Caenorhabditis elegans: one gene and its partner. The protein of the gene in region 2 purifies or fractionates together with the protein of the main gene of each other region. This does not show direct contact. Each region holds a gene or a part of one and is shown on either strand. Other genes may lie near its edges.

Region 1 (4,988 bases), on a different chromosome or scaffold from region 2:
GAGGGATTCAGAAAGGCGATCTCGTGTCACTACGCGAACTATGATCATACGAAGTACATTGATGTCAAGGGAACCGCTCAAGAGGTGTGAGAGTGCGATAGAGCGCGCTTGGGGGTTGATCTCCAAACCCGCGCTTTACCATTAGAGCGTGGTTGCATTTTTTGAATGCAAAGCTTTGAGATCTTTAATGCAAAGCTTTGAGATCTTTAAAGATCTTTAACAAAAATTTCGAGTTTCTAATGTAATTTATTAGATCCTTCTGAATTTTCTTGAAAATCCTAAAAGAAACATTGGCGATGCAATATTTTCCTGTCAATGGCCTAACTTTTTAATTTTCTCTTCCAGGAAGCCGGCAAACAGATTGAGGACATCATCCGTAAGCATCCAAAGAGATATGCCGTGAAACCGGGACAGGAGGTCACTTTCGAGGTTTGTCATTTGAAAATTTAAATTCCCGCCAGTCAATATCGCTTTTTTCCAGCTCACCTGGCGTCTGCGCTCTCGTCCAGTCCATCATGACGGCAAAGAAAATCTGTAAATGATAACCAAACGTTCAAACTCGATTTCTCAATCTCGCGAAATAAAGTTTCATTTTTGAAATGTACTCGAATAAATGGTGTAAAATGATGAGAGTAAAACAACACAATCATAATAATATTATTTTTAAAACAATAGTAAATTTCTGGAACGAGAAAAAAAATAAAAAAGGATTTGAACCGTGATGAAATGATGATGAAACAGGTGAAAAACTAGAGGGAATGGTAGGGGAAAATATAAAAATTTCAAGGCAATTTGTCATTTTGACGGTATTAGGAGAATTGGAGAGTAAACAATCCTCTATACCATCCTAGACATCACTAAATTTTGGCGGTAATATCTCAAAAAACCGAGACTTAATGAATAGCAATTTGTTGAGAAAAGAACATTGCAAAAAGATCCTGCACAACACTGCAATAGCTCTCCTTCTCCAGCTCACTCATCTCGTTCTCGACCATTCGAGGTGTGATTTGGCTCAGCGGAAGTGCTCGCCCCGCCACGTGGATCAAGTCTTCCTCCTCACTTTCGTCGTTGTCAACTTCCATTTTGATAGCTTCCTCGTCGACTTCCATCTTTATTTGCTTGGCAGGTGGCTCTTCAATTTTGACATTTGGAGCAGATTCCTCCGAACTGCACTCAATCTCCTTCAGATAGTCCAGAGATGGTCCATAACGTCGCTGTTTCGTTGATGTTTCTTCTTCCTCGGTTCTGAAAAAAGGTTTCATTGTTGAAATATAAAAGTTAAGCCATTTAAAAGTACTTGGCCTGATCCAGTACATGCTCATTGTGTGAAGCTTCACCACCGCCTATTGCATTATCCTTGAGCCATTCTGGCATAATTTTGGCTTCTTCCACAGGACCCCTGAAATATTAAGAATCAAAGTTTATTTTTCTACTTATGGCCACTAACTTATTAATATCCGCATTTAAATCCACAAAAACTGCATCTCCATTCTGATAATTGATCGAAGCGATATTTTGATAAGAATGAGCGACTCCTCCCAACTGTATCCGTCCACCACCACCTCCACCCGACGTAAAGTCCATTTGTTGTTGCTGTAGTTGCAGTTCTTTGTCATCTTCCAAATATTTCGTGATATCCGGTTCAAGGAGATGCGGAGCCAATTGGATACCGTTTAGAGCACAAATATGAGAGAAGAGCGGTGTCATTTGTTCGTTGAAGCGTGCCACAGCGGTTCTGGAAATTTAAAAAATAAAAAAAAATATATATGCAGATACAGTAACCCGAAGTTTTTTTTTGAAAGGAGACCCTAAACAGTAAAATTTCATCAATTTTTTGGAGCTCAAAATTGCAAAAAATTTTAGAGTACTGTAGATTTAATTTAACAAATTCAAAAATCTGTCAATTTGAAAATTTTTCAATTCGTCGCTTTGAGCTCGATCAGAATTCATAATAATTTTCGCTTCAGAACCCAGAAATTTCCGAATTTTCAGATTTTCAGGATATTCCAAGTACCTCGTCGTCCTCGATGGTACTACCGTCTCATCCGCCAACACATCTCCGTGGCACCGCCAGCAAATAAGCCGCCCGCTTTCAGCGTCCAATATCCGATTGATTTCCAGCATCTAAATATGATTTTTTCAGAGAATTCTTCTATTTTAAAAGAATTTTCTCACATCATAAGAACTCTGACACGCTCCACATCGATAGTGAGCTCGATTTGTGTCCATTTGCTCTCGGGACTCGAGTTTTTGTCTGGAAAATTTTAAACTTTCAGTGAAAAAATTATATTTTCACACCTCATGTGATCGATTTTGTAGCGCACCACGTTGAGCACAGCCCGATAGTTTATATAGTAGAAAATGATGGAAACCGTTCGATTATTCTCGTTTTTCTGCGTAATCGTGCGCTCTTTCACGAGTTTTTCAGCTTTCAGAGACGCGAGGAGCTGAAATTGTCAAATTTTTTGAATTTTCGAATTTCAAGCAAGTTTCAGCACACCTGTCTGAGCATTTTCTGATCGAATTGTATTCGGGCTTTGAGATTTTCCTCGCGAATGCACTGGGCTCGCATTATGTGGTAGACGATGATAAAGTGCTCCTGGAAAATTAAAAATTCAAGAATTTTTTGAAAAATCAGATTTTTCGCTTACACTTGAGAAGAAGTTCTTTACCACCATCAGCAATATAGTGTTGAGTGCCTCCGGAATCTGAAAAAGACGGTTTTTAGTCAGATTTAGTGGGTTTTTTCGCGGAAATGTTACCTCATCCACCACTTGGGTCTCGGTGTGAGCCGATGATGAGCCGGAGGTCGCTGGGCCAGATGACATGCCTGGAAAAATTTAGTTTTTGGAATAAATTTTAATTTTTGATCAATAAATTATAATTTTTGTTCAAAAAAGTGAGCAAAATTTAAATTAAAAATAATTCAGCTCAAAAATATCCAAAAAAAAAATGGAATAATCGTTTTTTTTTTAATTTCCAAAAAAAAGTAAAAATTTCAAAAATTGGTTTTAAAAAAATAACACAATGTCCTGGAAAAGGTAATTTTCAAAAACAAATTCAATTTTTTTCCTGTTAAATAAAAAACATAAACATTTTTTTCAATTTCAAAACAAAAATATTTCAATCGTTGGAAAACGATATCTCAAAAAACGATAAATTTTCAAAAAGAAAAGAATTCATTACTGAAGTAAAACAAAAATTAAAAATGAGGGGAAAAACATTAAATAACAGAGAACAATCTATGAGACCCTATTTCTTCTTAAGACTATCAAAAAAATATAACAAAAACAGAAAAAAAATCATCTAAACATATGTGAAAACCCGGTGAGAAGCGAAAAAGAGATGGAAAATCTCCAAAAACCGGGGGGGAATTTTCATCGTCTCTGATTCTCCGACATTTCCATTTCATCTTGAATGGCCATTGGTGGGGCGTAGTGATCACAGATGGCTCCGACTGATGGATTTCGGCCCTGAAAAAATGGAAATGAATATTTTTCTTTAAAAAAAATTAAATAATGGCTTCATTTTTCTGGAATTTAAAAAATGAAAGTAATTGTTTGGAACTCTTTTAGAATTCTTCTTGTAAAAATAGAGTTCAATTAAAGCGTTCTAATTTTAAAAAAATACGATTTTTTGAGATTTTTCCATGCAGAATTTAAGATTTTCAGCTTATTTTAATGCCGTTTTTCACCAATTTTTCAGTCAAAAAAAGAAGATTCCCCTACCTGGAATCTTTTGAACAATTCCTTCGCAACATCTCCACTTCCTCTATTCAATATTGTCGTTTTCAATCGTTCTCCCGTTTGCACTTCATTGTCTTCCTCGTCAAATGTCTCATGGATATCTAAGGCGAGCATCTGGAAATTGAGCCAATTTTCAGAAATAATTGAGATAATTTTTTTTAAAAGTATTTATCAAAATTCTGATGATTTTCTAACACTGGAAAACCACCTCACCTCAGCCCACAGCTTCCTATAATACATGCTCATATGTGGTTGAAGAGCAAAAATCGGTGTGAATGAGCACGGTTGATAGTCATTTTTGGCTCTTTTGAACGGGAAATACTCCTCATACATTTGTTTGTACATATCCAGCCAGAACTTTTGCTTCCTGTCCTCCATCTCGTAAATCGACAGATCAAAGTCCGACCAGAAGAGGGTACGGTAGGTTTCCCAGAGTGATGCTCGTGAGATCGTAAGAGCCACCGAGTTTGCGTGCTCTTCGGTCAACGATTGCTTTGTGATCTGAAACAGAAATTCAGACATTTCAAGAATTTTCGACTAAAAATACCTGATGCGGAGAGCTAATTGTTGCAAGGAGATTGGGCTTCGTGACGAACATTTGCAAGAATGTTGGGAACATGTCAGCTGCATCCCAGTCAGATGCGTAGAATGGAGACCATGGAATTGAAATATCACGGTATGGAGATTGTGATAGAAGAAGCTGCACACTTCGGCCAAACTGGAAATTTCGAAAATTTAAATTCAAACCCAAAATTTCGACTACTGACATGGAAAAGAAGTTGCTGAAGCTGCTGGTGATGGAGAAGAGACGGTCCGTTGGAAGTTGGAGCAATTGCTGAGCCGATGAAGTACACAATCTTGTCGAGACCTCGTTCTTTGGATTCCGCTGGAAATATATTTGTTAACTAACCTGTGTTGTTTTTTGCAGTTATTTTTGAACAGAATTTATTCTATTAACGTTTTTCGAAAGAATTTTTTTGCAAAAATAATTTGAAAAAAAAGCCAGATAGTCTGAAACGAGGAGAATTTTTTCCTCTAATTTTTATTCTAAAAAGACAATTTTTAAAATTCCCTCGCTTTTTCTGTCTTTTCATATTTTTTTCGATGGAAAAAATGAAGTGTTCCAAAAATACAAAAATCAAAAATTTTCAGTTTTCAAACAAAATCGAAACTGAATTTTCCGACAGGAAATGTCTAAATTCTAATTTTTTTCTAAAAAACTCGATACAAATTCAGGTGATT
Region 2 (4,108 bases):
CGTGAAGACTTCCGTATCGAATCAACCGAATCCCTCCTGCACACGTGGCAATATTTCCTCCAATCTGACAGGATCCTTTGGCTCCGAGATCAAAAGGCATCATATATCCGAGTTTTGCAAGTTTGTTGTCCAAGTCTTCCAGAATAAAACCAGAATCACACTTGAGAATTCCCATTGTGTCGTCGAAAGAGAATTGCTTGTTGATTTTATTCATTGATATAACAACTTCATCATGTACTGGAATTGATCCACCAACGAGTCCTGTATTCCCTCCTTGTGGGACTACTGCCAATTTGTTCTTGGAGCAATACGCCAATATTGCAGAAACCTCTTCGGTGCTCTTCGGGTAGAGGACGACACTGCCAGGACCTGGAAATTAAAACATTTAATATTTAAAGTACCTATTTAATATTAAATAAACCTAATCTTAAAATACAAATACCTTTAAATTGGCCTGTCCAATCTGTAGTATGATTTGTAATATCGTCCTTCTTCACTGCATCTTGCCCGAGAAAATTCTCAAATGCCATTAAATCCGACTGCATCACTTTTGCAAATCCTTCATGTCTGGCGGCAAGAACTGCTGCGTAGCTTCTAGTTGGTCTTCTGATTCGTGGCAAGATTTTCAGAAACATCTGAATTCAGAAACTTTTCAAAAAATAACTTGAAACTTCAAAAGAAATAGTAGGAGACAAAGCTCGGCTAGGTGACCGATTTGCCGAAAACAATAAGAAAACAAACGGCTGGGCAGTGATAAGAAAAAGAGACAGAAGAGATACAAATGATCATAGTTCATTTTATGTACTGTTAACAGAAGTGTGTAATTAAAATCATTCGTAATCCTCCAAAACTCCGTCCATATGCTCGTTTTGTACTTTTTGATTGAACCGTCTCTTCGCGGCTTTTCTTTTCAGTGGAGCCTGCATTCGAACCTTCGGCGTCAGATCCTTCATCGCGTCGAGACCCTTCTTCTGGAGATATTCTTCGATTTTCTTCTCATCCAAATGATCCACAGACACGTGTCTCCACAAGGCTTTGAAATCGTCTTCGAGCTCTGGGAATGTGAATTCTTTGTCATTGTAGAAGACGACTCGATCCTTTTTCTTATTGACTTGTGTCGGAACAACGATCACTTCAGAGGATACTTGCTGGAAAAATTTAATTTAATATTTCACAAAATTGCTCCTTTTTTATACTTTGATTTTTTCAGTTTGACAAATTTAAAAATTCTGATTTTTAATCAAAATTAACCCTAAATACCCTAGTTTTTGAAAAGTTATAATGAGAATATTCTGCCTTCAAAAATGTTTTTCCTTTGAAAATTTTTTAAGGAAAAAGGTTTTATGCTGGAAAAGTGTAATAATTTTTTTTTACTTTATTAAATATATTTTTTCAAACCTTTTTTTTATCGATTTCAATGTTTTTTTGTGGAATATTTAACTTATGGGATCGAAAATGATCAAAATTATTCGTGTAAAAATTGAAAAATAACGTTAATTTGTTCAAAAGTCTGAAAATAAAGTAATTTCTGAATTTTATTTTATAAATTTTCAACACATTTTATCTTTTTTGTGAATTTATATATTTAATTTTCAATTTATTTCAATTTGAAAATCAAAAAAAAACACATTGTTGAATACTCAGAAATTCTAAAAGATCTAATTCATCACAAACTCAAATTTTAATTACTACGAAAAATAAGCCGCTGATAATTTTAAAATCAATTTTACTAATTTTTAGCTGAAATTTTTGAAAAATAAAAACTTTATTTTTGTTATAAATTATTCAAATTCCCACCTGCAGTAGTGCATCATAATTAGCCACACACTCAGCCAAATCCGACACAAGAATTCCACCTTTTCCGTCCTGATAATGTTTCCTCGCGACAGCTACCAACGAAGTTTTTCCTTTAATTTTGTAAGGTGGTCGAAATGCGAATTTTTCGGATTCCATTATCAGTCGAGGATTGTTTGGTAATGCTTCTTGAAGGAAAGCAAGACTTCTTTTTGAAAGATCAAAAATTTGAAGTTCATCGAGAATTTCTTGAAGTGTCAACGGCCATTGTTGATTGTTTAGGTGGCGTTTCTGCAATTAACTGTTTTTAACTCGAAAATTTCGCTTTAAAATATAAATACCTTCATATAATCCACAATTTTCGCCATTGTACTGAAATTTGTGGCATTTGATAACGCATTGGCGTTGCTCACGGAATTATTGAAATCTGGGACTGAAAATTCCGTTTTCAGAAACTAATATTACATTTTAACAACTAACGTTTCGACAAATTTTGAGCCGGTCCAGAGCTTTTCTTCTTTTTCGCTTTTGCTGCTTCTGAAGAGTATGTTGTGTGTGAATTTGGTGCTGTTGTCTTAAAAAATCGATAAATTCAATATTTTTTTAATTTTTAAAGTTCTCACAGGCTTATTCTGAACAGCCATCGTTGTTGCAGCATGCTTCTGGAAAGCAGTTCGCTGCCTTAACAATTCCGGATCCATTTTTGCTTAAACGAAAACCTTTCGAAACAATGAAGAGTACTCTCTTAAGAGTGAAAATCGATGATGGAAGAGGTTTTTCAAGGCCAGTGGCCGGCAAATAATGGTGGCAGGGGGCTGAACCCTGTAGTAAACAATAAAGTGAATTAGTTTTCGCTGATTTTATCAGAATGAGAAAGATGGAACAAGGAGTGAAAGGAGCTTTAAATTTGAACAATTAAAATTAAAATTAAAGTGAAAGTAAAAGTAAAAGAAAACAAAAACAAAACTAATTCTACAGTTGGAAGCTATTTTCAAAATTTTCTAGACAGATAAAACATGATTTATTCCAGCTGCTCCTCTTCTTCTAGTGGATCATTGACGAGTTCAGCAGCTAGGTCATTTGGAAGCTGGAAGCCTATTTGGTGAAGAACCACTGTGTTTGATATATCCGTCAACAGGCGAGCCATTGAGAGCTGACCGTCGAGCTCTTCGCGGATCTTTTCAGAACACTCGGTTGTGTTTGTCGCGTTCTTTACCATTTCCTTCAACCGTGAACTTTGAACGTTCCAAATCTTTTCGAGAAAAGCTTTGTAGCAACCGTCTGTAATAATAATAATATTCGTTATTTCTCGCACCGAAAAGATGACAGAACGCCGCTCACCGTAATGACCATCGAGTTGCGCAAGATGATTGAATGCGTGGTGCAGTGGTTCGGCGAGAAACGTGGCAGGTGCAGCCGACCAACGATAAAGATGGTTGCGTACGAGACACACCATCTCCGCGGCTTCATTCTGGAGAGTTTCATAGTCGTCGCGGCGAGGATCGAGACAGGTGACAAGATATTCGCTGAGCAATCCTGAAGAATCAATGGCCAGCGCCATAGAAGATGAGGTCTCAGACCAAAAGCCTTGTACTTCGCAAACTTCTGAAAATTAAAAAGCTATTAAAAATTAAAAATATTAAAAAAAAAAATATTACCAATGATCCGGAGGAAAAGCTGATAAAGTTTCTTCCCGCTCCACATTTGGTCCGAACTCTTGGAATTATTCATGATGCGAAGAGCGCGGATTCCATTGAGCAACGTTGACAGCAATTTCCTATAGTTTGGCTCACTCTTCCGCAAAGTGAAGGTATCTGAATCGTCCTCACAGAAATACGCCCAGTCGACGCGTTCGCCAATTCTTGAAGATCTTGTTGGTCCGAATAGGATGTAATAGAACTTTCCCTGATATTTTTCAATTACGTTTCGGATCAGAACAGACAACCAGGAGCCAAACTCGATAATCTCCTGTGGAGAAGCTTCATCGATGTCTTGACTCAAGTTGAGGAAGAGTTGGGTCAACCCGGAACGAACTTTCATCTCGAGACCTATCAACTGGCCCGGTTTAGCAGTAAGAACCTTGATAATCGAAGGACGGAGATCAGCGTCGATCATGATTGCAGCTTTTACCATTATACGACGTTCAGAGAACTTCCAATTGTGCGTTATCGTTTCCAGGAGTCTTCCAAAACCATGAAGGGAGCCTCCGAGTTGATCACGCAAATTCCGGCAGATGTTCAGGAAGACTTGAGCGCGGATCTTTGTGTTCATTGTGATCGTGATGGATTTGATGAGGCCACCTGTTAAAATACAT

The links.
Region 1: the proteins of gtf-2E2 (region 2) and gtf-2E1 purify together in Caenorhabditis elegans (affinity purification with western blotting, with the first as the bait; one study listed by BioGRID). This does not show direct contact.

Annotation. Positions count from the first base shown.
Region 1 is NC_003282.8:17,253,143-17,258,130, reverse strand, and holds gtf-2E1 (HTH TFE/IIEalpha-type domain-containing protein), read right to left. Parts: upstream 2,831-4,988; 5' UTR 2,829-2,830; coding exon 2,763-2,828; intron 2,709-2,762; coding exon 2,652-2,708; intron 2,600-2,651; coding exon 2,501-2,599; intron 2,448-2,500; coding exon 2,299-2,447; intron 2,255-2,298; coding exon 2,176-2,254; intron 2,125-2,175; coding exon 2,015-2,124; intron 1,736-2,014; coding exon 1,448-1,735; intron 1,400-1,447; coding exon 1,298-1,399; intron 1,246-1,297; coding exon 894-1,245; 3' UTR 569-893; downstream 1-568. Other genes in the region: phyh-1 (phytanoyl-CoA dioxygenase), read left to right, coding at 1-84, 346-429, 482-538; eelo-2 (Peptidase M3A/M3B catalytic domain-containing protein), read right to left, coding at 3,378-3,473, 3,729-3,860, 3,960-4,247, 4,294-4,464, 4,514-4,632.
Region 2 is NC_003280.10:11,539,996-11,544,103, forward strand, and holds gtf-2E2 (Transcription initiation factor IIE subunit beta), read right to left. Parts: upstream 2,501-4,108; 5' UTR 2,496-2,500; coding exon 2,418-2,495; intron 2,369-2,417; coding exon 2,275-2,368; intron 2,228-2,274; coding exon 2,136-2,227; intron 2,086-2,135; coding exon 1,798-2,085; intron 1,149-1,797; coding exon 831-1,148; 3' UTR 778-830; downstream 1-777. Other genes in the region: dhgd-1 (D-2-hydroxyglutarate dehydrogenase, mitochondrial), read right to left, coding at 1-369, 443-635; F54D5.9 (F-box domain-containing protein), read right to left, coding at 2,816-3,075, 3,136-3,399, 3,453-4,094.